7 linked regions of the Callithrix jacchus genome follow. The main gene of each other region encodes a partner of the protein of the gene in region 7 in a complex. Links are inferred from orthologs where the notes say so. Each region holds a gene or a part of one and is shown on either strand. Other genes may lie near its edges. The genes, in order: GEMIN4, RBM48, CWC15, GEMIN2, SF3B2, GPKOW and SNRPD3.

The links.
Region 1: SNRPD3 (region 7) and GEMIN4 share a complex: the UniProt entries of both Homo sapiens proteins name them as parts of the SMN-Sm complex. The link is inferred for Callithrix jacchus from reciprocal best matches to the Homo sapiens genes SNRPD3 and GEMIN4.
Region 2: SNRPD3 (region 7) and RBM48 share a complex: the UniProt entries of both Homo sapiens proteins name them as parts of the minor spliceosome. The link is inferred for Callithrix jacchus from reciprocal best matches to the Homo sapiens genes SNRPD3 and RBM48.
Region 3: SNRPD3 (region 7) and CWC15 share a complex: the UniProt entries of both Homo sapiens proteins name them as parts of the minor spliceosome. The link is inferred for Callithrix jacchus from reciprocal best matches to the Homo sapiens genes SNRPD3 and CWC15.
Region 4: SNRPD3 (region 7) and GEMIN2 share a complex: the UniProt entries of both Homo sapiens proteins name them as parts of the SMN-Sm complex. The link is inferred for Callithrix jacchus from reciprocal best matches to the Homo sapiens genes SNRPD3 and GEMIN2.
Region 5: SNRPD3 (region 7) and SF3B2 share a complex: the UniProt entries of both Homo sapiens proteins name them as parts of the minor spliceosome. The link is inferred for Callithrix jacchus from reciprocal best matches to the Homo sapiens genes SNRPD3 and SF3B2.
Region 6: SNRPD3 (region 7) and GPKOW share a complex: the UniProt entries of both Homo sapiens proteins name them as parts of the minor spliceosome. The link is inferred for Callithrix jacchus from reciprocal best matches to the Homo sapiens genes SNRPD3 and GPKOW.

The regions. Positions count from the first base shown.
Region 1 is NC_133506.1:63,630,192-63,634,327, forward strand, and holds the start of GEMIN4 (gem-associated protein 4), read left to right. Parts: upstream 1-1,336; coding exon 1,337-1,799; exon of another isoform or gene 1,800-3,262; coding exon of another isoform or gene 3,263-3,395; exon of another isoform or gene 3,396-4,136. Other genes in the region: diazepam-binding inhibitor-like 5, read right to left, coding at 413-676; uncharacterized protein LOC118153659, read right to left, coding at 753-871, 1,131-1,338. UniProt on the Homo sapiens protein: The SMN complex catalyzes the assembly of small nuclear ribonucleoproteins (snRNPs), the building blocks of the spliceosome, and thereby plays an important role in the splicing of cellular pre-mRNAs.
Region 2 is NC_133512.1:57,090,155-57,094,164, forward strand, and holds the start of RBM48 (RNA-binding protein 48), read right to left. Parts: upstream 2,801-4,010; 5' UTR 2,796-2,800; coding exon 2,685-2,795; intron 2,136-2,684; coding exon 1,945-2,135; intron 1-1,944. Other genes in the region: peroxisomal ATPase PEX1, read left to right, coding at 3,162-3,290. UniProt on the Homo sapiens protein: As a component of the minor spliceosome, involved in the splicing of U12-type introns in pre-mRNAs.
Region 3 is NC_133511.1:45,351,626-45,355,636, forward strand, and holds the start of CWC15 (spliceosome-associated protein CWC15 homolog), read left to right. Parts: upstream 1-1,211; 5' UTR 1,212-1,319; intron 1,320-2,584; 5' UTR 2,585-2,592; coding exon 2,593-2,723; intron 2,724-3,575; coding exon 3,576-3,688; intron 3,689-3,992; coding exon 3,993-4,011. UniProt on the Homo sapiens protein: Involved in pre-mRNA splicing as component of the spliceosome. Component of the PRP19-CDC5L complex that forms an integral part of the spliceosome and is required for activating pre-mRNA splicing.
Region 4 is NC_133509.1:73,778,970-73,782,982, forward strand, and holds the start of GEMIN2 (gem-associated protein 2), read left to right. Parts: upstream 1-1,213; 5' UTR 1,214-1,229; coding exon 1,230-1,366; intron 1,367-1,751; coding exon 1,752-1,836; intron 1,837-4,013. UniProt on the Homo sapiens protein: The SMN complex catalyzes the assembly of small nuclear ribonucleoproteins (snRNPs), the building blocks of the spliceosome, and thereby plays an important role in the splicing of cellular pre-mRNAs.
Region 5 is NC_133511.1:123,131,227-123,134,726, forward strand, and holds part of SF3B2 (splicing factor 3B subunit 2), read left to right. Parts: intron 1-101; coding exon 102-152; intron 153-1,378; coding exon 1,379-1,496; intron 1,497-2,121; coding exon 2,122-2,231; intron 2,232-2,564; coding exon 2,565-2,661; intron 2,662-2,843; coding exon 2,844-2,935; intron 2,936-3,357; coding exon 3,358-3,500. UniProt on the Homo sapiens protein: Component of the 17S U2 SnRNP complex of the spliceosome, a large ribonucleoprotein complex that removes introns from transcribed pre-mRNAs.
Region 6 is NC_133524.1:49,690,242-49,694,289, reverse strand, and holds the start of GPKOW (G-patch domain and KOW motifs-containing protein), read left to right. Parts: upstream 1-1,248; 5' UTR 1,249-1,328; exon of another isoform or gene 1,329-1,555; intron 1,556-4,048. UniProt on the Homo sapiens protein: RNA-binding protein involved in pre-mRNA splicing. As a component of the minor spliceosome, involved in the splicing of U12-type introns in pre-mRNAs.
Region 7 is NC_133502.1:195,106,386-195,110,505, forward strand, and holds the start of SNRPD3 (small nuclear ribonucleoprotein Sm D3), read left to right. Parts: upstream 1-1,320; 5' UTR 1,321-1,416; intron 1,417-1,602; exon of another isoform or gene 1,603-1,677; intron 1,678-3,532; 5' UTR 3,533-3,548; coding exon 3,549-3,674; intron 3,675-4,120. Other genes in the region: protein GUCD1, read right to left, coding at 1-188. UniProt on the Homo sapiens protein: Plays a role in pre-mRNA splicing as a core component of the spliceosomal U1, U2, U4 and U5 small nuclear ribonucleoproteins (snRNPs), the building blocks of the spliceosome.

The sequences.
Region 1 (4,136 bases), on a different chromosome or scaffold from region 7:
AGGCCCTGTGTTCCAGTGGGGGTTTCGGTGTTTAGGACAGAGTCCCTTTCCCCTCTGTAGTGTTGGGTGTTCATTAATCACTCTTGAAGAGGTAAGGGGCTGGGCCTCAGCCTCCCCAGAGGCCATCAGTGGAGAAGGGTCTCGCTGACCTCAGATCGTGGGCATTTCCACGGCACACCATCCCTCCCAGTACGCTCTAGCAATAGGAAGGCTGGGAACGCCACCCAAAGCCACACCGTTTTTGCGGTCTGTGTATTTGGACGCCTCCCCAGCACCCAGTCAACGAGTTTCTTTTTCCACAGCAGTCAGTCACTCTCGTGCAGTGTCAGTGATTTATTGGTGTTTCAGCTAACCCGGTTACTCTCCATTTCAGCCATCAAGGTCTAGGGAGCCACTCCATTCCGAGGAGCCCTCAGCCAGCCTCCTTCCTGGTCAGCTCCTCCACTTTGGCCACGTAGGCCCTCATGGCGTCCATCCTGGACAGCCCTTGGTTCGCAGTCCACGCCTCCCACTTGGCCTTGGCTTTCAGGTCAGAGGCGGGAGGCGCGGGGAGGTGGCAGTCGCCCCGGGTGGCCTGCTTGTACCAGCCGTAGAGCAGCAGCTTGTCCTGGTCGCTCAGGGGGCCCTTCAGCTGCTTGAGGGCGGTGCGCGCCAGCTCGAACTCCACTTGGCACATGGGGCGGGAGGCGGCCGGGCCTTTCCGGGCGATCCGGGTGCTGGAGGCCGGAGGTGGGGAGGTAAAAAGGCCGGCGTCAGACCTCCAACTCGGGGGCAGGGGACGGGCGGCGCGTGGAAGAACACGCAGAGTCTGTATTTTCTTCTCCGCGACTGCAGGCCCGGGAGCCAGTGTCTGGGTCTGTCCACGATGTTTCTGTGGAGGAGCAGACGTGAGAAGCGCCTCCGGTCCCAAACGCGGCCGTCCCAAGGGGGCGGCGCGGCAGCGGCGCGCACAGAGTGCGAGCGTAGGACGAGCTGGGCGGGAGGAAGCCGCGCGTGGGGAGGCCGCGCTGGGTGGGGGCGGACAGTGTGCGGGACGCGCCCGGGGTCACCGGATGAGGGTGAATGCGGAGCCGGGGCTCAAGCCGGACGCACTGGGACCCGGAGGCAGGCCCGGGAGCAACGCCCGATACCTGACGGACGGGAGGCCTCTGCGAGGAGGCGGTGCTGTGGCTCTGCGCGCTCCTCCGTGAGGACTGCGCTTGCGCGGGGGGCTATGGGCGGGGACTGAGCACGGCCGCCGTGGCGCCTGCGCCGCCCATTGTGCCGTGCGTTCGTCGCCGCGCCCGCGTTCTCTGAGAGGGAGAGCCAACCCCGCGCAACCGCCCGCGTCGCTACCATGGACCTAGGTGGGTGCCGCGCTCCCTGCCCGGGCTGCGTCCCTCCACGCGTCAGCAGGGCGGTGCTCCCTGGCGCGTCTCCTCCCGCTGCGCGCACTGATGGGCCCAGGCGGAACGTCCTCCGCGTCGGGGCGGGTCTGGGGTTCCGGGTGGCTTTGGCTGGGGACCCGGGCCCGGCCTCGGGAGTCGCGCCGCGGAGTGAGGGTGGAACCCTCTGGGCCGGCGCACGTGCTATGGAAGCGCGGCTCCTTCAGCGCCCGGACTGCCGCGCTCCTGAAAGGCGCGTGTCTCCTGTCGTCCGGCTTCGTCTCGGCGGAGCGGGAGGGGGACGGTGCGTCTGCCCCCGAGGGCTGCGCGACTCTCCACGGAGGCCGCGGGCGTCCAGGTCCCGCGCAGAGTTGCCGGGGCGGCTGCGCGCCTCGGAACCGGAGTGGTCGGGGCCAGGCCCGGAACACGGAGCAGGTGGGCGGGCGTCCGGAGAGCTGGGGCCGCGGCGCTTCGGCACCAGCTCTCGGGAGCGGAATGGCGTCCGGGCACCCTGAGAAAAGCGTTTCTGCAGCTTCGTGTTCGGGCCTTGAGCGGGAACGGCGTTGTCAAGGTGGTCGTGATGCGTGAGGTCTCGCATGTGACCCGGCGCGGGGCTGGCGCGGTGAGCGCGGAACCACCCGGTAGCCCTAGCTCTTGGCTCTGGCGCGCGCTGGGCGCCGTTCCTGACCGAGCGCCGGCGGGTTTTCCAGCCGTCACTGCCCTGGCGCTACTGCTGCAAATGCGGCGGACTGCCTGCGTTTGGAAGGCGCGCGTGGATGGCCAGACATTGGCCCAAAGAAGCTGATAACGCAGTAAAATTAAATTTGCAGCGCTAGGGGGGGCCGCATTTTGGGGTTTGGGCGAGCCTCCTGACGGTAACCCTAGCGAGATCCCTCTGCAGCCTCGGCCTCAGCCACTGTGAGCTGAGGTGGATTTTCTCCGCAAATGGGTTACATGGGAGTGCTGAGCGCTGGGCCTGTGGCTGCTCCCACACATGGTGGCAAGGGCAAGACAGTCCTTAGTCTCCTGGAATCCGTGTTATCTCTGCTGATGTCTGGCCTGTAAAATGGAGACTGAGCTCTCAGGGGCATGAGAGACTGAGGAAGAAGCATCTCTTGGTCCTAGAAAAGGGAGAGGACTCAGGAGTGGGGAATAGTGAGCAGTGTCTATCCTGGGAAAGGGAGAAGACTAGGGAGTGAGGAATGGTGAGCATTGTCCCGATCCTGGGAAAAGGAGAGGACTCAGAAGTGAGGAAAAGTGAGCAATGCTTGTACCCTCGTTTTACTTCCTGGGCCAAAGGAAACATACCTGATAAAAACCTATGTCCTTTGATGTTTCTGAGCTGGGGCAGGCAAAGAACAGTGACAGGGTTTTGATCCTGCCAATGATGAGAAGGTTTGGGGAAACCAACATTGACTGAGCCCTGATCAGGCTCTGTAACCTGATTCTTAGTGTAGCTGTATCACATTTATCCATCACAGCGTCTCCAGGAGATGGGGTCAGGAGATAGCAGTACTAACCCACTACCAGGGGCTTGACTGGTATGCATCATATAATCCTCAGAGTCGTAACAAGAAGTCTGTATTATCCCCAAAGCTGCAGAAGGAAGGCTTGGAGAAGCAATCTGACCATGATCACATCCCTTACCCACCCCCCTTTTTTTAGGGGTCTGGGGGGGTCTCACTATGTTACCTTAGCTAGTTTTGAACTCCTGACCTCAGGGATCCACCTGCCTCAGCCCCCCAAGTAGCTGGGATTAGAAGTGCTAGCCACTGCACCCCTGGCCAGAATCACATTACTTTTAAATGGCTGATCTAGGAATCAAACCTATGTTTGATTAAACATCCCAAGATGTAAGTCTGTCAGTTATTCCTTCTCTGCAGGAAGGACTTAATTTAATGAAGTATTTTCTGTATCTACTCCCTGGTTTCTCCCACAGAGCCTGGGCCATGAGTAGCTTGTCTTTGGAAGGAGCTGTGGGGTGGACTGTTTCCCTGAAAGGTAGAACAATGTTTGAAGCCTGCTCCCAAGGCAAGGTTATGAAGGGCGAAGGCAGGGCTTGTCTGATTGCTTCTGTGCCCATTACCTGTGGCCATGTGATTGCTTCAGTGCTCATTACGCTATGGCTGTGTGATGGCTGCTGTGCCGTTACCCTGTGTCTGTGTGATGGCTGCTATGCCCATTACCCTGTGGCTGTGATTGCTGTTGTGCCGTCACTCTGTGGCTGTGCCCATTACCCTGTGAATGTGTGATTGCAGCTGTGCCCATTACCCTGTGGCTGTGTGATTGCTGCTGTGCTGTTACTCTGTGGCTGCATGATTGTGGCTGTCCTCATTACCCTGTGGCTGTGTGATTATCACTCTTCCCCCTTCATCTGTCATGAGAAACTCAGCTGTCATGTCCTGTGGTACATGCTCAATAGCTCTGTCGTTTGTACTGTCCTCGTGCTATTTCTGAACCTCTCTCCCCACATCCTCCTCTGGCCCATCCTTTGCTGAAGGGTTTGCCCTCAGCAGCCCAGCTTGTTCTTTTTACTTTTCCTGAGGGATCTCATTCTCTCTTGGTTCCGGTGATCCCCTTCTGGGCACATGCCTCTCAGAGTCACATTTCCCAGCTGACTTACCCCCTGAACTTCCACCCGGCATTGCAACTGCTGAAGGACATCTCCTCGATAGCCAAAATCCAGAATCACATTTCCCAGCTGGCTTTTCTCTTCAACTTGCATGGGGCATTTCCACTGCTGGAGAACATCTGTGCCTTGATAGCCAAAAT
Region 2 (4,010 bases), on a different chromosome or scaffold from region 7:
TTTAAACCTCTTGGATTTGTTCCCTAGTCTTTAAGCAACTAAGGACCCAGCTGGTTGGCCTGAGGTATGTAAACTCTGGTCATAAAATAGAGCTTTTCTGTGGCCCTGAAGAGTTAGTTCATATCCAATTAAGCTTTTTCAGCACAATGTATTTCTGTAATGGGATTTATGCCTTAAAAATCAGATGAAAAATACTATAATCATAATACCTTCAATAACTGAGGAAATACTAAATATATAACAATGAGAAAATAAAAATGTTATTCAGTCAATACTTACTAAACATCTATGATATGCCAAGTACTACAATAAATAAATTTAACTACTCCTATATCCAGGGATAATATTAATACTTGTTGAGATTTTATCATATGCCAAGCAATGTCATAAGTGCTTCCCTTGAATTAATACCTCACAACTGTATAATGAAAGTGAAGCACTAGGACATTATATAACTTAGCCATGCTCATACTCTCGTTTGAGGAGCAAGGATTCAAATAAGGCATTGCATACTTCAGCTTTTTTTGAGCAGAGGGCTTATATCAGATAGAAGGCTGGAAAAAACTGAGTCAATTCGCAGAAAGGAGTGACAATAGCTAATGCTTACTGTATTCTGACCAGGAGGGACTATGCTAAACCCTTTATATGGATCATCTCATTTCATCAGCATACTACCTCAAGAAGGTCCCTTTAGCATATAGATTTTATGGAAGAGGAAAAACAGGTTTAACCTGGTTAAATAACTTGTCCAAGGTCATGAAGCTAGTAAGCAGTTGGACTGGAAAACTTACTCCAAGCCCAACTTTTTGTTTTATTTTTTTGAGACAGTGTCTCACTCTGTCCCCCAGGCTAAAGTGTAGTGGCCCATAAACAACTCACTGCAACCTATGCCTCCTGGGCTCAACTGATTCTCCCACCTCAACCTCCCAAGTAGCTGGGACTACAGGCATGCTCAGCTTGATTTTTGTATTTTTCGTAGAGGCAGCGTTTCACCATGTTGGCCAGTCTGGTCTTGAACTGGGCTCAAGCAATCTGTCCACCTTGGTCTTCCAAAGTGCTGGGATCAAATTCAACTTTTTTTTTTTTTTTTTGAGACAGTCTCACTCTTGCCCAGACTGGAGTGCAGTGGTGTGATCTCAGGTCACCACAACCTCCACTTCCTGGTTTCAAGTGATCCTTGTGCCTCAATCTTCCCAGTAGCACAGGCTTGTGCAACCACACTTGGCTAATTTTGTATTTAGTAGAGTCAGGGTTTCACCATGTTGCTCAGGCTGGGCTTGAACTCCTGACCTCAGGTGATCCCCCTATCTCGACCTCCCAAAGTGCTGGGATTATAGGTGTGAGCCATGTGCCTGGCCTCAAACCCATCTTTTTTTTTTTTTTTTTTTTTTGAGAGCCTCGCTTTATAACATAAAAATAGATAAGGCATTGCATACTTCAGCCTTTTTGGACTCTAAGCTGGAGTCCTGTGGCATGATCTTGGCTCACTGCAATCCTCCACCTCCCAGGTTCAAGTGATTCCCATGCCTCAGCCACCTGAGTAGCTGGGACTACAGGTCCCAACCACCACGCCCAGCTAATTTTTGTACTTTTAGTAGAGCTGGGGTTTCTGTCATGTTGGCCAGGTTGGTCTTGAACTGTCGACATCAAGTGATCTGCCTGCCTCAGTCTCCCAAAGTGGTGGGATTACAGGCGAGAGCCACCGTGTCCTAACTTCAAACCCAACTTTTAATCTACCACACCACAGGACATTAAATTGTTAAGCATGGGAATGATGTGATGGGAACAGTGCTTCAAGTAAAGTATACCTTTAAAAAGGCTAGAGGAAAATAAGTGGAATATAGGCTAGATTACATTGAATGAGGTATGAATGAGGGAAACTTGGGCCCAAAATGATAGAAATATGAATGGAGAAAATGAGTCACTGCTTAACTTGCACATTACCTTGCACTTTGTAAGTTCACAAATTTAATAAGATAAACTTCAGTAAAGTCTTCTGCCGGGTATTCATCTAGAGCATTATACTGTTCAATTGGACCATATAAAGCGAATCGCTCAACTAATTCTTTCATGGCTCCCACAGCAGGAACTCCTTGTATTAGTAAGTACTGAGATTCCAAATTGATTGTATATACCTGAAAGAAATGCAGAGTCGTTAAATGTATCTCGCAAATAAACCTAGGACGAATCTGCCTCTATTTTTTTTTAAACAGCGCTTTCAAAACAAGAAATAATCTGTTCAACCCAAACACAAAATAAAATGTCTCTCATTCCCTCTGCATAAAGAGTAACAGCCCATGTGAGAGGGTACCTAACAAAGGCATATAACAGACTACCTTCAGTCGACATTTTTTTCCAGAAATTGAGTCGGTAGAATTCACCGGGAACAATCACTCAACGAGTATTCACTGAGCGCTTACCTTGTGCCAAGTAGTACTGTAAATACAGAAGATCCAATGACTAAAACCAAGCCTTACTCTCGTGGAGGTGCTGTTCTAATAGTTGACCAAAAGGATCGTGAGAATCTTTGATAACTGACCCAAGCAAGGTTCTTCACGCTAGCTCTAAAGAGAGAGGGATCTGACAGCAGCCTTGTCCTGCCCTTATTTCTGTAGACTGGCTATATGGCGCTAGCACTCATATAAAGCTACCGAAGAGAGCGAATGAAACCAAAATCACTTTACCTTGACAGCACGAGGCCGTCGTCCCTCCCGATATTTGGCCCGCGTGTCGCATACCGCCCGCTGGACGTGGTGGTCAAATACATTCCCTAACTCCCCACCGCTCGACGCCATCTTGCCTGCTTTGATCCTCGCAGGGAGGACAACATCCGCCCTGCTGAGCTCCCTTTTCCCCAATAAGAGAGCGAGATGAGTCAAGGAGTCCCACGATTGGCTGGAGAATCGACAGCGTCGGCCATCGTTTCCTGCGTGAGAGGATTTGATGAACGAGTTGCCGCCCCCGCGAGCGGCACCGCGGAGAGGCGCGGTGAGTGGCAGAAGCTCGCTTGTTCCACCTAATACAGGCTTGCGACGAGAGGCGCAGCGGTCAGAGGGGGCGGGGCCGATCTATCTCCTCCGGCTCCGACGCCCTTGGCCTGCCAGGTCCCGGGTCCGCTGCGGCGCTGGGGTGGGGCGAACCCGGAGCGACGCGTAAGGACGATGTGGGGCAGCGATCTCCTGGCGGATGCTGGGCGAGGCGGGACGGCAGTGACTGTGGTCTTCACCAACGCTCGCGACTGCTTCCTCCACCTGCCGCGGCGTCTCGTGGCCCAGCTGCACCTGCTGCAGGTAACGTGCCGGCTCCGGCCACCTGCTGTTCAGCCTGGGGTCGGACTAGGCCGAAACCTCTCTGGGAGGCGGCGGGATGCCTGCTGCCTTTCGGGCGCCGCCGAAGCGCGCAGAGGTCAGACGAAGGGTCCCTCGAGGACAGGGCCCCTCTGAGTAGTCTTTGCGTCCCACAAGTCCTGGGCAGCCCTGGGCTTGTCTTATCCCAGGTCTTTTCACTTGGTGAAACTGAGCCTAGAAACATTCTAACATTCTACCATTGTTTTTAGAAATATTCCTTATTCCAGGTTGGAATATCTCCTGAGAAGTCGTTTGTTTTTGTTATTTTAAAAGGTGTTTTTCTTGCCAGTCATTTCCAGTTACCTGCGCTGCTGCCGTCCCGGCCGCGAGAGGGAGGCGGAGAATTGTTGGCTGAGCCCGGGTAGATTCCCGGGGACTGACCACCGCGTCCCATAAGCGGGAAAGATTAATACAATGATGGTTTTGCGCGGCGTCGCTGACCCTCGGAACACAGCTGTGGTGTGTTAGGAACACGTAACGTAGTTAGGATCACTTGAAGCTCTGAGATCAGTCGCCTTTCTGGACGTTGTGGTAGGGAAGTTTCACAGTTGTAACCACTGGTGGAGATACAGCGTCCCTACTTTCATAATTAAAAATAGAGGCACATGGTCTCAAGAATTTGAGTGTGCTTATGGGGGCAAAAGGATAGCGTATTTGAAGTTC
Region 3 (4,011 bases), on a different chromosome or scaffold from region 7:
GCAGTAGAATAGAATTTGTTAAGTTTTTAAAGTAGAGTTGTTAAGACCTGTAAATGAACTGTATGTGAAGAGTGAAGGTAAAAAAATTTAAATAGGCACTCTGGGATTTTGGTTTGAGTAACTAATATGATGACCTTTACTGAGATGTTTAACACTGGAGGAGGGATATCTTTGGTAAGAAAAATCAAGATTTTCATCTTGAACTTTACGAGTGAAAAGGCTTTTTCTGCTTTTTTTTTTTCCCCTTCATTTAAAAGTTGCAAAGAATTTAGGGATAAGAAAGCATTTAAATTTTCAATTTTGTGAGCTCCTTACATTTTAAACTAAGTTGGGGACGTTGAATTTCCATTTAACAAGTATTTATTGAGTAACTACTATACGTCAAGGTCTACGTGATGATATACCAAGATGAACTAAGCATTCAAGACCTCTGTTCTCAGATTGACTTATTTTTTTATGGAAGGGAGGTGAGACGATTGGTGGGTTTTTTGGTTTTTGGGTTTTCTCCTTTTCGTTGTCTTATTAAAACTTAACACTTGAGTAGCCATCTTAATAACTACACTGTGCTTCTGGCAGTTGGGCCCACCGTTCTAAACGCTGTCGTAAATACTGACATCTCCCCTCCCACAAGAACTAACGTTTTTTAAATAAAAAAATTTTAGCAAACATTACGCATACAACCTTTGCTTTGAAGTGTAATATTTTTGCAGGAATGGTACCTTTATAAAGATCGTGGTTGCCCCGTACTTATTTGTTCTTTCTTCATATCCAATTAAATGAAAACACTAGTTTTTCCGAAGCCCAACTCTCTAGGCTTGTTGGTTCTAGCTCAGGATGGAAGCAGGAGTCGTTGGATTTAAACAGTTTGGTGTAATCCTTTTCCACGCTCTAACCCGCTAGCCGGGGACGTGGTGTCGGCTACCCGGGGCTTTCCGTCCACGCAGTACCGGAATGGAGTCTGGGAGGGGGTCGGGGACGGAAAAGACGGAAGAGACATTAAGTAATTGGTTCTTGAAGGTATAAAATGATGTTTAGGGTCTACTCTAAGGCACTGATTTCAAACGCCCGCCCCCTGGGCCGTTTAGGCCCCGCCCCTTATTGCCCTTACGCCAACTTCCACTTTGGCCTCTGCGGATTGGTTGTTATCTCCGCCTCAGAAGCGCTTGGGTTTTGCTTCCGGGTCATAGGCCTAGCCCTGAACGCAGAGGTTCCTGGGAGCCAAGCGTAGTAATGGCGTCTGTATGATATTCGGAGCCTGCTGCATCGGACCTCGGCCAATGTGAGTGACAGGAGGATAACAGATTATCTTCTTTATCCCGGTAGGACGGGAAAGGGCAGTTGGGATTGGAGTTGGTGGCAGAGTGCTGAGCGCGGGCGGCGGAGGCCCTGAAGCAGCTCGCTAGGGGCGGAACCGAGTGCCTGTCAGGCGCGTCCGGAGCTCTAGGCCTGCGGTTAAGATCGCAGCGTAAAGGCAGCTCGCCTACCGCTTAAAGCGAGCCTCAGGTCCACCCTTCACTACTCCTCGCATCCCTGTAGTGCTAGGCACGGGTGAAGAGGTAGCGAGTTTCTGGTTATAGCCAAAGACTAGCTCTCCGGAGGCCAGAGTGATAATTCTGTTGGCGTGTGGGAAGGCGCGGTGCCCCCAGAGCCAGATAATCCTGTTTCTTCTTTGAAGACATGCCTCTACCCTTTTCGGAAATCAAGAGAAATAGACCCCTGCCAAAAAAAAAAAAAACGAAAAAACAAATCCTCCCAATTCACCCACCCTCCCACACACTTTTCCGACACTTACAGCGTCTTAGTAACTAAATCTGTTAGACAGTATTCTTGTGATTGCGCCAAGCAGAAAATAAAGAATGTGTCCCTGGTTTTTGGTATTAGAATCCTCTGGGGCGAGGTTCTTGTTTTTTTGAACAGTCCTTAAATTATAACCCACAAGAGATCTGAGTTATAATATGATGCCTGTTGTAGAAGAAAATTGGATCAACAAAAGGTTGTTTAAGAATTTTTTTTCTATGTAACTGTCATTGAAGTTTAACACTTTTGCCTAGGGCACTTAATAACTTCGTCAGTGATTTTTTAAAAATTGTTTTTGGCTTTTGTTTCTGTTAGTCTATTTGCTATTGTGTGAAATTTAGATAAAATACAAACCTTAGAGAGTTTGGTGGAGTAAGGTTGAGCTGAGAATTTTTAAAACTCAGTCATGGCAGTACGGTATTTTATAAGGGTTTTGACATGTCAAGTGTCGTAATTCTTACAATAATCCTAGGAGGAATATCTCCATTCCGCTGATGACAGAAAGTTAAGCTAGGTGACTTCGTGAAGCCCACAGAGTCAGAAGAATAGGGATGCAAACTCAGATCTTCGTGACAGAATTTTTTGTACTAAGACATGTCTGGGAATCCATATTCCTTGTACTGCCTAAGCCTCATAATTTTTTTTCTTGAAAACTTTTGTTTAAGAAGATTAAGCAAGTTTTGGGGAATGAGTTTTAGAACTTATATCACCAGGATGGATATTGATTAATACTCTAAAATGAGAGTTCGTAATGTTGGAAATAACTTGATACTATTTTTCTTCAAAGCATAAAAGATGACAACTGCAGCCAGGCCAACCTTTGAACCTGCAAGGGGTGGAAGAGGAAAAGGAGAAGGTGATTTGAGCCAACTTTCAAAGCAGTATTCAAGCAGAGACCTACCTTCTCATACAAAGATAAAATACAGGTAATAAGACTTTTTTGTTGTCGTTCGCAAAACAAGACCAAATCTGTTAAATGACATGGTCATGATATAGTAGTATGTTTGAGTTATGTTACTTATTTATTTTCATAGACATAGAGTGCAACAGGATGTTTAACACTAAAATTTTGCTCTATGATTTTAAAATGCAAAATTCCTACTAACCAGGAATTTTCATATGTAGATAGAGCAATAAATAATATAAATAATAATGCCTCAGAGAGACTATGCACAATCAGCACCAGTCAATATATTAAAAATGTTACTGTTCTGAGTTGATATAATACTAATTACAGATATTTTAATCTGTGTAAAGCCGGCTGGGCGCAGTGGCTCACGCCTGTAATCCCAGCACTTTGGGAGGCCGAGGCGGGTGGATCACGAGGTCAAGAGATCGAGACCATCCTGGTCAACATGGTGAAACCCCGTCTATACTAAAAATACAAAAAATTAGCTGGGCATGGTGGTGTGTGCCTGTAATCCCAGCTACTCAGGAGGCTGAGGCAGGAGAATTGCCTGAACCCAGGAGGTGGAGGTTGCGGTGAGCCGAGATCGCGCCATTGCACTCCAGCCTGGGTAACAAGAGCGAAACTCCATCTCAAAAAAAAAAGAAAATCTGTATAAAGCCTTATCATGGGAAAATACTGAATTTGGATTTCTCGAAATATTGGGAACATCACAGGAGTGGCTGTTAGTAACCCTCAGATTAGCTTATGGTCTTGTCTATTTCCCTTTTTTATGCTTGAAGGACAAAGTCTCATTCTTGAATTGTCTTCCATTACTACAGTTGTGTGTGTGTGTAAGTAACATTTTTGCCCTGGCTCGTTTTTACTTTAGACAAACTACTCAGGATGCCCCTGAAGAGGTTCGTAACCGTGACTTCAGGAGAGAGTTGGAAGAAAGAGAGAGAGCTGCTGCAAGAGAGAAAAATAGGGATCGTCCAACCCGAGGTACCAACACTATCCCAGACATTTGTCTCATAAAATTATCTTTTTGATAGTTTTTCTTTCATGTAGCAACTGGAAAATGTTAACCATTTGTTTGCTTTTACACTTGATGTGAGTTATAATATTTAAGTCATTAGAGATGATAATAACAAATATTTACCAAAAGCATATTTGCCAGGCACTGTGGATATGATTTCTGTTGTCATAAATGCTTTTAATGTGGGCTCTTTGTACCCACAGGTCCCTAAAACATTGTAAGAAATGCAGTATTTGTTTTACTAAGTTAAATGATTTTTGTTTCCCCCAGAACATACAACCTCCTCTTC
Region 4 (4,013 bases), on a different chromosome or scaffold from region 7:
AGACACAGGGAGGGGTGCATCACACACTGGGGTCTGTTGGGGGGGAATAAGGGAGGGACAGGGGAGGGGAAGGAGTTGGGAGGGATAACATGGGAGAAATGCCAGATATAGGTGATGGGGGATGGAGGCAGCAAACCACATTGCCTTGTATGTACCTGTGCAACAATCCTGCATGTTCTGCACGTGTACCCCAGAACCTAAAGTGCAATAAAATATATATATATATAATTTTTAAAAAAAGCTAAGGACTATCCTGTTTAATTTTTTTATCTTCAACTTAAACTTACATCCTTGTTTGAAATCGATTCCTTGCAACCTAAAAACAGTGCTAAAATATAAACAAATTTTTTTAAAAACCTTCGAAAAGAAATATAAATTTTAGAAAAGTCAATTGTATTCACTCAATTGTATTTGTTTAGAAATAATCAGATATAATACTTGTTTCTTGCACATTCTTGCCCTGTTTCCTCACCTGTGAAATGGAGATGATACTATCTACCTAACAAGATTGACCTAACATTTTTGTTAATTTCTGTATGTTAGCATTAGCTTCATATTTTTCACTATTTGTATTTAAACGAAGATATTTTTCTTCAAAAAAAATAAAAAGTGCTGGCTATTCTAGGAGTAATACTCATTCCAAATAAACATACAGTGATCTTTGAAGTGGTCAAGCACTAGATATTCCTGTAGAAAATTAATTTTTCTTTCATTTGGCATCGGATAAGCGTATGTTGGAATTGGTGTCTTCCCCTTTGGGAGAAGCTCAGTCCCTCCCCTAACAGAGTATTACTCCCCACTTTACAAGATTGTTTTAAGAATCAAGTGAGAAAATGTGTGTGTTTATGTCGGGGTTAAGAATTTAGAGCTCCAAGAATGATAATTACAGTAATACTGTTCATTAATTCAAAAACCATTTTTAAGGATCCTTCACTACTAAGGATGCATAAAAGTTGCTAACCCTCGGCCTTTGCCCAGCGTGAGAAGACAAAACAGGGAGTAAAAGACCAGAAACGCGTTCGAACCAATTCAGCTAGGAATTAAATTCTCAGATCCTTTATTACACCACCGGAGCCTTAACCTTGAGGCAAGCAGCAGTCTGTTCATGCGCAGTTAACGCTCCCTAAACTGCCATTGCTCAGCTCCGCGCCCAAGGTTCCTACTTGTGCGCCTGCGCCGTGACCTAGAGTGGGCGCATGCGCTGAGTGGAGCTGGCTGGTTTGAAAACCATGGCGTGGGTACCAGCCGAGTCCGCTGTGGAAGAGTTGATGCCTCGGCTATTACCGGTAGAGCCCTGCGACTTGACGGAAGCTTTCGATCCCTCGGTACCCCCGAGGACGCCTCAGGAATACCTGAGGCGGGTCCAGTGAGTGATTTGGCCCTGGGCGGGTGGGCTGGTCGTCTGCCCTGCCCCGGGGTACAGCCCCTGGTGCCCCTCTCGACCTGCGTTCTATAAAGTCCTGTTTCTTCCCGTTCCAGTCTCTTGCGAGTTCGGGTCTGTTCAGGATTCTGGATTACATTCTTACGTGGGCGAGTTTCTGTTTAACATGATTGAATGTACCAAGATGTGTGATCTTAGATTTGTTTTCAATCCAGATAATTTCAGAAATATATTCTTTAGTACGTCAAGTGGAAGTCTGAATTTTTTTTTTTAATTTCACAATCAACTATGGAAATGGATCGCTCGTTTTACTACACCTGAGCAAAGCACAATAGAAATTTAATTTCTTGCATTTATTACTTATTTGTAGGATCGAAGCAGCTCAGTGTCCAGATGTTGTGGTAGCTCAAATTGACCCAAAGAAGTTGAAAAGGAAGCAAAGTGTGAATATTTCTGTGAGTTATTAACCGTCTGGAGATTACCCCCAACCCCTCAATTAAAAGACTAAGGCTCTTCCTATAGTATCCGACAGTATCAATTATGGTGTAAGTAAGATTTGACTACTCCCTTCAAAGATAGACATTCGCTTGTACTTTTTCCTCCAGAAAGGCAACTGGCATTTACAGCCTCTGAAGAGGTTTTCTGTAACTCTAGCATTTGTGGAGCTTGCCCATCTTTCTTCAGGGACACTATCCAATCCTTTCAAAGGAGTCTTTAAATGGGTTACTTAGGCTATCTTCTATTTTTTCTTGTTTGTTTATAGAGAGGGAGTCTCTGTTGCCAGCTGGTCTGGAACTCCTGGCCTCAGGCTGTCTTCCCGCTTCTGCCTCCCAAAGTGTTAGGATTACAGGCTTCAGCCACTGTGCCTGACCCCTTTATTTATTTATTTTTTGAGACAGAGTCTTGCTCTGTCACCCAGGCTGGAGTGCAGCAGCAGGATCTCGGCTTACTGCAAACTCCTCCTCCCAGGTTCAAGCTATCCTCTTGCCTCAGCTTCCCAAGTAACTGGGATTACAGGTGCCTGCCACTACGCCTGGCTAATTTTTGTATTTTTAGTAGAGATGGAGTTTCACCATGTTGGCTAGGCTGGAACTCCTGAACTCAGGTGATCTGCCCACCTCGGCCTCACAAAGTGCTGGGATTACAGGCGTGAGCCACCGCACTGGGCCCTCCTTTTTTTTTTTTCCTAAGGAATCTTTTTCCAGTTACTAGATTGGTGTTTAATCCTATTGTGCTTTGTGTGTTCTGAATTTGATAAAGTTCCACTTTTTGTCAAAATAGAAACTCAGATATCTTACACTTTTACAGCTACTTGCACACTGTGGACATTTTCGTTTATTTATTTATCCAGCACATTTTTAATTAAGGGACTACGTTGTGCCAGGCACTGGGAATGTAACAGAGGATAAGATAAAAAAGGATCCTACCCTTGTAGACAGAGAGTAAACAGGCAAACAAATAATTACATGTTGTGACTATTGCTATGAAGAAAATAAGCATATGTAATAATCAATAAATGACAGAACTACTGTAGATAGAGGAATCACAGAAGGTCTTTCTTCCCTCCCCCCCCCCTTTTTTTTTGAGTCTTGCTTTTTCGCCCAGGCTGGAATGCAGTGGTGTGATCTTGGCTCACTGCAACCTCCACCTCCCGGGTTCAAGAGAGTCTCCTGCCTCAGCCTCCTGAGTAGCTGGGATTACAGGTGTGTGCTACCACACCTAGCTAATTTTTGTATTTTTAGTGGAGATGGGGTTTTACCATGTTGGCCAGGCTGGTCTTGAACTCCTGACCTCAAGTGATCTGCCTGCTTCAGCCTCCTAACGTGTTGGGATTACAGGCGTGAGCCACCACGCCTGGCCAGCGAAGGTCTCTCTAAGGAGGTGCTATTTAACCTAAGCTTAAAGGAGGTGGCATTTTAAATTGTTGATAGTAATTTCCTTTTCATGTTGAAAGTAATTTCTCTATCTGATATTTATAATCAGAAAATTTTAATTCAGACACTATAATGTTTCCTGTAATTCCTCTTCAGGATTTTTTAGTTGATTGATTTATTTTTTTGAGACAGAGTCTTGCTCTGTCACCCAGGCTGAAGTACAGTGGCACGGTCTCGGCTCATTAGTTGATAGACATTTAATGGAACAGAATGTCTTATATACCTAATTTGATAGATGGATGGATTGATTGAAACGGTATGTCTCTCTTTTTGTTTCTGTTTGATATTCTAGAAAGGCAGGTAGGACTAGATCATATCCTCTGGGCTAACGTCATTTAGATTTCATAGAAACTCCAAGTATAGGGCCGGGCGCGGTGGCTCAAGCATGTAATCCCAGCACTTTGGGAGGCCGAGGCGGGTGGATCACGAGGTCAAGAGATTGAGACCATCCTGGTCAACATGGTGAAACCCCGCCTCTACTAAAAATATAAAAAATTAGCTGGGCATGGTGGTGCGTGCCTGTAATCCCAGCTACTCAGGAGGCTGAGGCAGGAGAATTGCCTGAACCCAGGAGGTGGAGGGTGCGGTGAGCCGAGATCGTGCCATTGCACTCCAGCCTGGGTAACAAGAGTGAAACTCTGTCTCAAAAAAAAAGAAACTCCAAGTATAAGCCTTTCCAGATTTCTCTTATTAAATTG
Region 5 (3,500 bases), on a different chromosome or scaffold from region 7:
AACATGGGTCCTTGACTGGAAGAGGATCTCAAGAAGCAAGAGCTGTGAGAGATTGGCCTGTGGAATATTGGTGCTGGTATGAGCTTGTTTTCTTTTTTAAGCAGGGAGATCATTCGCTGAAGGAACATGAGCTCTTGGAACAGCAGAAGCGGGTAATACTCCTCCCCTTTGACCTCATGGTCCAGTTTGTTGGTGGCCATTTATAGTGCTTAGGGTGTACCATTCAAGTTTTCCCTGGAGGCTGTTTTTTCTCCAACTAAGTTCCAGTGTCTTCCAAAGTATTCAATTTTTCTTAAAGTTCAGGAATTGAACAAACTGTGACCTGGGCCTGCGTTTGTATGGCCTGTGAGCTAAAAATAACTTGTAAATTTTTTTAGGAGTTTTAAGAAAATGCAAATCAAAAATATGTAGCAGAGTCCATACAGCAGCCCATAAAGCCTAAAGTATTTACCTTCTGACCTGTTACACAAAGCATGTGCTGATCTCTGCTTGCCTTACATGAGATCATTCTAGATAAGACACTGGGCAATTGAATTATTTGTATTGGATTTAGACAAAATATGACTATAAGTCTGGGAATGTTATATAAGATGTTTGGCCCCAGAGTTGTATTGCATTAGTCGTTACCCAGTGGATTACTCAGGAATATTAAAAAGTAAGTGTTAAAAGCAATAAGTATGAGCTGGGTGCAGTGGCTCACACCTGGAATCCCAGCACTTTGGGAGGCTGAGGGGGGTGGATTGTTTGAGCTCAGGAGTTTGAGACCAGCCTGGCAAACATGATGAAACTCTGTCTGTATCAGAAATACAGAAGTTAGCCAGATGTGGTGGCACACACCTGTAGTCCCAGCTACTTGGGAGGTTGAGGTGGGAGGATGGCTTGAGCCTGGGAGGCAGAGGTTGCAGTGAGCTGAGATCATGCCACTGTCTGACCCTGTCTCAAAAAAAAAAAAAAAAAAAAAAGGCAACAAGTCTGGACCTGTGGATGAACTGCTGTCTTTGCCCAGATTGTGCTGGATCTTGAGGGGTAGATACAAGAAAAGAATTCAAAAGTTTCTTCTGTATAATTTAATATTTTGGGGAAGAAAACTCTCTGAAAAGTAGAAAGCAGTGTTTGGCTGAATATGAAATTTTCTGTTAGGAACCAGAAGTTTCCTGGGGTTTTCCTTGGTGTTATTTCTAGGGATTTCCGTTGTGATTAGGGGCTCCTCCATTTGGATTAGTAGCTTGGAAGTGTCAGGGTGAGGGGATGTCAGCACCCAAGTGGTTCGTGATTGTTCTCCTTCGGCCCATTACCCGGCTGAAAGAACGCATTTGCCAGGGGCTGCCTGCCAAACACATTTTCAGGCTGTCTCTCCACTCCCACTTCCCTCCCACAGGCAGCTGTGTTACTGGAGCAGGAACGACAGCAGGAGATTGCCAAGATGGGCACCCCAGTCCCTCGGCCCCCACAAGACATGGGCCAAATTGGCGTGCGCACTCCTCTGGGTCCTCGAGGTGAGACCCTGGAATGGAGGGGAAGGGCAAGGAAGGTGTTTTCAAAAAATTTTTAAAGACTTTTAAAGTGGCCGGGCGTGGTGGCTCAAGCCTGTAATCCCAGCACTTTGGGAGGCCGAGGCGGGTGGATCACGAGGTCAAGAGATCAAGACCATCCTGGTCAACATGGTGAAACCCTGTCTCTACTAAAAATGCAAAAAAAAAAATTAGCTGGGCACGGTGGTGTGTGCCCGTAATCCCAGCTACTCAGGAGGCTGAGGAAGGAGAATTGCCTGAACCCAGGAGGTGGAGGTCGCGGTGAGCTGAGATCGCGCCATTGCACTCTAGACTGGGTAACAAGAGCAAAACTCCGTCTCAAAAAAAAAAAGACTTTTAAAGTATCTGTCACATTTAAAAAGTGCATATAGAGTAAATATACAGTGTAATGACTTTTTACAAACAGAGCACACCCATACAACCAGCACCTGGACCAAGATCCAAAACATTACCAGAACCCCAGAACCTACCCCCCACTCTGCCGTGCCCTCCTCCACTGCAGGGTAACCATCACCTTTTTAGCAAGAAAGGTGGTTTTTTTATGTGTTTCGTCTCTTCTGACATTTAATTTCTTTCTCCCTTCTCTCAGTAACCGCTCCAGTGGGCCCAGTGGGCCCCACTCCTACAGTTTTGCCCATGGGAGCCCCTGTTCCCCGGCCTCGTGGTCCCCCACCACCCCCTGGAGATGAAAACAGAGAGGTGAGACTAATGATTTCTTCATAGGGACAGGAGAGTGGTAGTTTAGAAGGGGACTATTTTTAGAGAAGGGTTCTGTGAGAAGTTGGGGACTTAAATTCCTGGGGGTAGTGGGGAGTGCTGCTTATTTAAACTATACTTAGGGTATGGCAGAGGGATTGGGGAGACATTACTGAGGCAGAGTCTTGGGGTCCCTCTGAACCTCACTGAGCCCAGTTGGTGTTGCTCACTCTGCTGCTTACATCACCTGGCCAGCAGCCTTTCTAGTCCAAAAGGTAGAAGTAGTTAGAAAAAGGGTGCTGTGATTCATCTCCTCTGACTGGTTGTCTCTGGCAGATGGATGACCCCTCTGTAGGGCCCAAGATCCCCCAGGCTTTGGAGAAGATCCTGCAGCTGAAGGAGAGCCGCCAGGAAGAGATGAACTCTCAGCAGGGTGCGTGCCGGGTGTCCTGAGGCTGCAGCCACAGAACCTGGAGAGGCCGAGGCTGAGTCCTCATTCCTGTGTCCCTTCCCTAAGGAGAATTTAGAGAGTCAGGCTCTTGGTAAAGGTGGGTGACTGTGATGCGTGCAGGGCACTGGTACCGTGAAGACTCATCACCACCTTCTTCCTTACAGAGGAAGAGGAAATGGAAACAGATGCTCGCTCGTCCCTGGGCCAGTCAGCATCAGAGACTGAGGAGGACACAGTGTCCATATCTAAAAAGGAGGTAGGGTTGGAGCTGAGTCTGGAAAGAAAGGCAGGAGATGGGACTTGGGTACGAAAATAGCACAATTTGTAAGTGTTCAGTAAGTAATAGCTTCTATTTTGTGCCAATTTCCACCTAAGCATCTTATAGATATTTTTTATTGAATTGCTTTGACTTCCAAGTACTATGCTTGCCTACATTTTAGAGCTGAAAGAACTGAGGTTCTGAGAGGCACAGTAATCTACCCAAAGGTACACAGCCTGTGAATGGCAGAACTTTGGAGTCTGACTCCAAGGCCTCTTCACAACCACTTCATGAGATGGCCTCCTTGGAAAAAGCCTGAGCATTGAACTGTGGGGGACACTGGGGAAGGAGTTCGTGGGTTGGGGTGCTGCCACCCTGTTTGGATTCTCTGACCCAGCTGGTTTTCCTCCTCTTGACAGAAAAACCGGAAGCGAAGGAACCGAAAGAAGAAGAAAAAGCCCCAGCGGGTACGAGGGGTGTCCTCTGAGAGCTCTGGGGACCGAGAGAAAGACTCAACCCGGTCCCGTGGCTCTGACTCCCCAGCAGCTGATGTCGAGATTGA
Region 6 (4,048 bases), on a different chromosome or scaffold from region 7:
ATGGAAAAAGGAGCCAGCCCAGCGTCCTCAGCTAACGGAGCCAGGCTTCCTTGCTGACCTCCTTTCCGCCACCCTGCAGATCCAGGAACCAGGCACAAGACCCGCCAGCCTCAGCCTCCAGGGTCTAAGCGGGTTGCCAGGTGAACACGCCCCAGCACTCAAAATTCCTTGCTGGCTGCCCTGCGTCCACCCGGCCCACTACTGGCCATGGGTCCTCGCACAGGGTGCACCACGGACCCTAGGGGGAGCAGAGGAGGTACAGGGATCGAGGGTGTTGGGGAAGGACAGGTCGAGTCGCTGCCACCCTCTTCCCGCCTGTCCGCTCCACATTTTTTCCTTCTGACAGGTGGTAAACAGAGCTGCTCTGGCGCCCAAGTGGCGGTGACAGGGGGCAGGGGCCCAGCGATAGAGGCTGGGCTTGAGGTCCCCTACCCACACCCACACCGGAGCGAAACGCCTGCACAACAGAACCGGAGAGGGGCTCTCAGGAGTCTCCAGGGAGATGTGCAGATGTGCGGGGAGGAGTCTGTCCGTGGTCACTGGGGACACCTGGGCACTCAGGGTCTGTAGTGAACTGGGAGTAGGGGAGCTGGGGGTCCCTGGGGACCTGTGGAGGGGGAATCTGGAGGTACATGGGTCATGGGGGGAACGGGCCTCCTGAGGGAATTCATGGGGATAGCAGGGGTTGCCTAGGATACCTAGAGTGGGAATTGGGGGTCCCAGGGCTACAGGGTCAGGCCGGGTTCTCCCAGGATATCTGGGGGAAACGTTCCCAGGAGATGTCATGGACGAAGAGTTGGGCGTCCAGGGTGATTAGGGGGCAGTCGAGGACCTCACGGGATGTTCAGAGGTGTCCAGGACTATTGCAGTCTAACAGCGATCTCCAGGGACACCGTGAGGGCAAGCGGGAGTGCACCGGCTACCCGCGTTGGTCGGGGATGGGTGAGGGGGAGGGACAGCGGCGACTCCGGAACTATCGAGGGAGTGGCTAGGGGTCGCCCAGTGTCCTGAGGGTCATTTCTAGATCTTCGGGCGTCCGGAAGAGTGGGGGTTGGCCGAGGCCGAGGGTCGGCTTTGACCTGTTCCCCTCTCCTGCGCAGGCCGCGAGCCACAGCGCCGGGCAGCTCTTGGCGTGGCTGGACGCGCGCCCCCTGGCGGCGCGGGCGGCGGTGCTACGCAGAGCAGGGCGCTACATTGCGCCTGCGCCCCAAGGAGGGAACGTGACAGGGGCAGGGCCTCCCGTGGGACGAGTTAGGAGAGGAGCTGGTTTCAGAAGGGTAGGCCCGTGGAATCAGCGGCTACTGCCCTGCGTTGGGTGGTGCCAAGAGGTACGATTTGGGAGGGCGGGGCTCGGAAAGTGCTTAGAGTGGGTGGAGCCTCGGGGTTATCCTAGAATATTCATTGAGGGTTATCGCAGTAGGCGGGGACCAGATTAGTTGAGAGTGCGGGGCTGGATCCCTGTTCTGGCCAGTGGGGCTTCGAGAATTCCTTTCCGAGGAGGCGGGGTCTGGAAAGTGCTGGGGGCGAGCTTGCAGCGAAGGGGCAGGCCTGAAATGTGAGTCAGGGGATGGAGCCTATAGGCCCATGGGGGCGGGGCTTGCGATGTCAAGAATGGGATGAGGGTTAGAGGCTAATTAAATGGTTTGCTCTGGAGGGTTCAGGAGCCAAATTTTGGAGTAGCACCCTCCAGGGAGGACCGAATGGAGTTTGCATGTGTGTGTGACCATATTTGAAGATAATCCTGAAGGTGTTATTTGAGAAATGTTTTCTGTGCGTTAGTAGAGGGAGATAGGAAGGTAAGGTCTTGGAGGTATTGAAATGGTCGGGCCCAGGATTATTTAAGGAGATGGAGCTTTGGGGACTAGTTGAGAGGAGAGTGCGAAGACAGTTTGGGCGTGGCTCCAGGTTCCAGGAGCTGCGGCTAGAAAGTGAACGTAAGGGGCGGGGCTGAGACAGTTTCTATTGAGAGTCCCTAACCACTTTCTCCGCCTCTTCCATTCCCTAGCCTTTATCTTTCTGGGCTATAAGGACAATAATTTCATGAATAGTCGCCTGTCCCACAGACCCCCTTGCCTTCCATGCAGAGGTTCTATCATGGCAAATACAGCCAGGCGTGAAAAACCTTTGGTAGTTTTTGGGAGCTGTGAACAGTAAGTGGCTCTGGAGACTGCCTTAATGAACCTTGGGGGCGGGAGGCTTGCAAGGATATGGGGAAGAACAGAAGGTGAAGAAGGGCAGTGGACAGAGCTAGGCTGAAAACACAGCGCAAGCCCTGAGCCAATATGGAGAATTGGGTAAGACTCCAAACTCTGGTGCTAGGCAGCCTGGGTTCAAGTCTGACTGTTACTACCAACTTCCTCACCTTCAGTACGTTAAGTTCTTTGTGAAAAGCTTAGCTGCAGCCATACAAAAGAATGGGATCATGTCCTTTGCAGAGACATAGGTGAAGCTGGAGATCATTATCTTTTGCAAACTGAGGCAGGAACAGAAAACCAAATACCGCATGTTCTCAGTATAAGTGGGAGCTAAATGATGAGAACACATGAACACATGAGGAGAACAATACACACTGGGGCCTATTGGAGGGTGGAGGGTGGGAGGAGGGAGAGGATCAGGAAAAATAACTAATGGTTACCAGACTTAATACCTGGGGCATGAAATAATCTGTAAACAAACCCCCATCACACACGTTTATCTATATAAGAAAACTGCACATATACCCCCTGAACTTTTTTTTTTATGAGACAGAGTCTCACTCTGTCACCCAGGCTGGAGTGCAGTGGCGCAATTTCTGTTCACTGCAACCTTCATCTCCCAGGTTCAAGTGATTCTCCTGCCTCGGCCTCCTGAGTAGCTGGGACTACAGGCACCTGCCACCACACCAGGCTAATATTTGTATTTTTAGTAGAGACAGTGTTTCATCAGGTTGGTCAGGCTGGTCTCAAACTCCTGACCTCATGATCCACCCACCTCAGCTTCCCAAAGTGCTAGGATTACAGGTGTGAGCCACCACCCCTGGCCATAAATTCAGAACATTTTTGTCCCCCTAAAAGACACCCCATGCCAGTTGCAGTGGCTCATGCCTGTAATCCCAACACTTTGGGAGGCCGAAGCAGGAGGATCACTTGACCCAAGAGTTCCAAACCAGCCTGGGAAACATAGTGAGACCCTGTCTCTCCTAAAAATAAAATAAGTAGCTTGACATGATGGCCAATACCTGTAGTCTAGCTACTTCAGGGGTTGAGGCAGAAGGATCACTTGAACAGGAGAGGTGGGTGTTACAGTGAGCCCTGATCTCAACAATTCATTCCAGGCTAGGCGACAGAGCAAGACCTTGTCTCAATAAGTGAGTGAATGGGCAGGGAGTGAAGGCTCATGCCTATAATCCCAGCACTTTGGGAGGCCAAGTCAGGCAGATCATGAGATCAGGAGTTCGAGACCAGCCTGGCCAAAATAGCGAAACCCCCGTCTCTACTAGAAATACAAAATTTAGCCAGGCATGGTGGCAGGTGCCTGTAGTCCCAGCTACTCGGGAGGCTGAGGCAGGAAAATCACTTGAACCTGGGAGGCAGGGTTGCAGTGAGCCAAGATGCACTGCACTGCAGCCTGGGCAACAGAGTGAGACTCTGTCTCAAAAATAAAAAAAAAATTAAAGAGAATGAATAAATTAGTAAACAAACCCCTATAGCCTTTTTTGAGAGAGATGGAATCTTGCTATGTTGCCCAGGCTGGAGTGCACTGGCTATTCACAGTCGTGATCCCACTACTGATCAGCACAGGAGTTTTGACCTGCTATGTTTCCAACCCGGGTAGATTCACTCCCTCCTTAGGCAATCTGGTGGTCCCTGGCTCTGAAGGTCACCATATTGATGCCAAATTAGTGTGTACACCCAATCTGCATAGCACACTACAGCCCAGAACTCCTGGACTCAAGCAATCCTCCTGCCTCAGACTGCCGAGTAGCTGGGACTGCAGGCATGGCCACAGCACCCGCTCCAAACCTTTAGCTCTACTCCTCCAGCCCTTGGCAACCATCAGCATACTATTT
Region 7 (4,120 bases):
ATGGCCCCAGCCCAGAGCGGGCTACAGCTTCCGCTTCGGCTGGGGCGGGAGGGCGGCCGGTGCGTCTCCAGTTCCTCCGCCGCCACCGCCGCCGATGCGGTGGGGAGAACTGGAGGCGGCGGCTGGGCCTCCCCAAGGCCCGCCCCGGCCCTTCTAGTTCGCGAATCTAAAGGCCCCGCCCCTTCCATAAGCCCCGCCCCAAACTTTGATTCTAGACGCCCCCAGTCTCTCGATTTAAGCCCGCCCCGGCCATTTGCCGCTTCTGCGTCGGGTGGCCCCGCCCCGTCGCCCAATCCTCGCGTAGACGCGCTGCCCACCAGGACACGGGCCCCGGAAGCCCCACCCCTTTCCTTGAGGCCCGCCCCGAAGCTCGTGCACTTAGTGCAGATGCTTCCTAGAGGTTCGTCTCTTCAGCAAACTCCGCCTCTGCCGTGACCCGCTCCTTTGCAGCCTTAGGTGTAAGCACCGGTCCCGCCCAATGCATTGCCGAAGCGCCAAACAACTCTCTTTTTATTTTTTTATTTTTATTTTATTTTATTTTTTGAGACGGAGTTTCGCTCTTGTTACCCAGGCTGGAGTGCAATGGCGCGATCTCGGCTCACCGCAACCTCCGCCTCCTGGGTTCATGCAATTCTCCTGCCTCAGCCTCCCGAGAACCTGGGATTACAGGCACACACCACCATGCCCAGCTAATTTTTTGTATTTTTAATAGAGACGGGGTTTCACCATGGTGACCAGGATGGTCTCGATCTCTTGACCTCGTGATCCACCCGCCTCGGCCTCCCAAAGTGCTGAGATTATAGGCATGAGCCACCGCGCCCGGCCACAACTCTCTTTCAACTGCCTTTAGGGATGATCCTGAGCCGGCCGCCGCCCTACTCTATACCTAATTTTATCCGTACGAGATACCTCGCCCCGCTCAGGGCGCCCCTTACCTAGCGGTGCCGGGATCAAAAAATTAAATTGTGAGGGGGAAGTCCTGGCCCTTGGCCCAACCTCCTGCTGCCCCGGGTCTGACGGCCCAGGCCCCGGGTCTGACGGCCCAGGCCCCGGGTTTCCGCCTTGCAGTCCAGCCTGTCCTTGGTGTGGGGTGCTTGGAAGTGCGAGCACCCTCTGCGGCTCGTTGCCGGCCCAAGGGTCGTTGTTTCCGGCGGCCCTCGGGCCCAGTTATCAGCCGTCTCTTCTGGTGCCGGAACTATCGTAGCGGTGCCCTAGTTTCCCAGCCGGCGGGCGCAGCGAAGAGGAAGCGGAGACGAGACCGCACTTACCAATGGGGAAAGGAAGGAGGTGGGCCCTGCGCGCTGCATTTTGGGAACGATTGGAATTCTGGGAGCTGGGCCCGCCATTCGCTGAACTCACGCCTTAGCCGTAGACTCATTTGCCGCCGCACCGAAGAGGAGAAGGAGGCCGGAGCTGGTGAGGCTGGGGACGGGCAAGGGGGGGTCGAGGGGCCACTCGCTGCATGGAACTCTGCGGGGCTCGGGGAGGGAAGAAAGCGGGAAGCTTGGGCCACCCAGACATCAGCGAGCATCGCCTCACTAGCGCCTAGAAGTAAGTTCATTAGCTTCAGCGTGCATGCTTTCACTTTTTGTATCTCTCCAGGTCAGTGTTTTTCAGAGCTTCCAGGCAGTAATCTTGAAGTCATTTCTGGTTGACTGTCTCCTTTCCCCAAATCCTGTGAGTGCTTTTTTCTGTTTATTTTTTCTTTTTGTTTTGGAGTAGTGATGGGTTTCACCATGTCGCCCTTACTAGTCTTGAACTCCTGGGCTCAAGGGATCTACCGGCCTCGGCCTTCCAAAGTGGTGGGATTATAGGTGTGAGCCACCGCGCCCGGCCGATCATTCTTTTAAAAGTTACTTGCATCTCTGCCTCCAGCCCCCTTTCAGGTAGTGGTCCCCTCATGGTTTCCACACTGTTGCAGAAGTTTTAACAAGTTTCTCTGCTTCTAAACCTTACATTCTATCCATTTTATAAATAAATGCTGCCACTTTTTTTTTTTATTCAAAAAAAATTTTTTTTCTTTTAAAGACGGGTTTTCACCATATTGGTCAGGCTGGTCTTGAACTCCTGACCTCAGGTGATCCGCCCGCCTCAGCCTCCCAAAGTGCTAGGATTACAGGTGTGAGCCACTGCGCCCGGCAGTGCTGCTGCTTTTTTCATTACGTCATTCTTTACTTAAAATCGTGCAGTGGTTCCCCACTATTTTCAGTATAAAATGTAGACTCCTAAAGCTGAAAGCAAGGGATCCTCACCAAAGGAACCTGTTTCTTCAACCTCACGTTCTCCTCTGTTAAGTGCACTTACGTTCCAACTTTGAGTCGTTGCTTATCTCAATAAAAAGTTCACTGCTTGATTCTTTTTTTTTTTTAAAGACGGGCTTTCACCATGTTGGTCAGGCTGGTCTTGAACTCCCGACCTCAGGTGATCCGCTCGCCTTGGCCTCCAAAGTGCTGGGATTACAGGCTTGAGCTACCACGCCTGGCTGCTTGATTCTTTTAATTAGGTCAAATCAGGTGATTTCCCTGATTTTCCTCCATGACAAGCATTTCCTGAATAGAGCATATTGTCACTTTGATATTTCCTCATCTTTGATGGTAAAGTAAGTGAGGGGTTAAAGGGCTGAATTAAAAGTGCAGCCCCCTCTCCTAGGTGTTCATGGGTCCTTTGGTCTGTATCTGCACCTTCCATAGGGGAGCCACTAGCTACATATGGCCATTGAGCACTTGGAATATGGCCACTGGGATTGAGACTGGGTTTTTTATTTTAATTTTATTTTGTTTTAAGTAAGTTTAATTTAAATAGCTACATGTGGACATGAGCTGTATTGGACAGCTCAGGCCTATATAATTTTCAAAATGTAATCATGTACAATTACGGTTGACAATAACAATGCAACAAATAACATTCTAACCCCCACTCCGCAACACGAACAGTATTCGCTAATGGTCATTTAGATGAAGATTAAGGGACATAGGGTAGTAGGGACATGTGGTTGATGGGAGAGGCTCTCTTTTCATTTCTATTTTTATCTCTGTCCAGCCCACCATTCCTTCTCACCCCACATCTTGCACATATTTGCCAGATAGTTTCCTCCAAGCCAGGAGCTGAGTTGTTTTTGTTTTGTTTTATTTTATTTTGTTTTTGTTTTTGTAGAAAATGTAGCTTTGGGCCGGGCGCAATGCTCACGCCTGTAATCCCAACACTTGGGAGACCAAGATGGGTGGATCACGAGATCAGGAGATTGAGACCATCCTGGCTAACACGGTGAAACCCCATACTAAAAAAGTAGCCTGACTTGGTGGGGCAGGAGAATCTCTTGAACCCTTGAGGCAGAGGTTGTGGTAAGCCTAGATTGTGCCACTGCACTCCAGCCTTGGCAACAGAGAGAGACTCTGGCTCAAAAAAAAAAAAAAATTCAGTTTTGGCATTTTTGCTAAGTTTTATGGAGGGCTAGGCCTTGAAGGAAGCACAGTATGTGCTGCATGCCTTCTCAGTCTCTGAATGATGAACTGACTGTTGCCTCTCTCATTAGAACTCTTCCTGCCAAGATGTCTATTGGTGTGCCGATTAAAGTACTGCATGAGGCCGAGGGACACATTGTGACATGCGAAACGAACACCGGCGAGGTATATCGTGGGAAGCTCATTGAGGCAGAGGACAACATGAACTGCCAGGTATCCTGCTTTGCACATGAGGCTATGTGGGAGGAATGGACCTGTGTCTCAGAGGAACGGAAAGGTGTGGGTTGGGGGTCTTTGAAAAAAAATTGTTCTCATTCAGCAATGATTTTCTTTTGTTTGTTTGTTTTTTATTATTTTTATTTTTCTTATTATTTTGTTGTTGTTATTTTTCAGCAATGATTTTCTGAGTGCCTAATGCATGCCAGGCACTGTTGTTACAGGCTCTGGGAATGTGGGCATGAACAAGGCACAGTCTTGAGGCAGGAAAGCCATTGGAGGTTTGGAATATTTTACTTTGTCCTTTTTGTTTTTTCCATCCCCAGAGTTGGGGGCCTATTTGAGGGAAGTGCTACTTCAGTAGAATTCTTCAGATTCAGAGCCATTATCCATTTGCCTTCACTTGCCTTGTGGTTAGCAGAATCTTCTCCCATACTGTATTT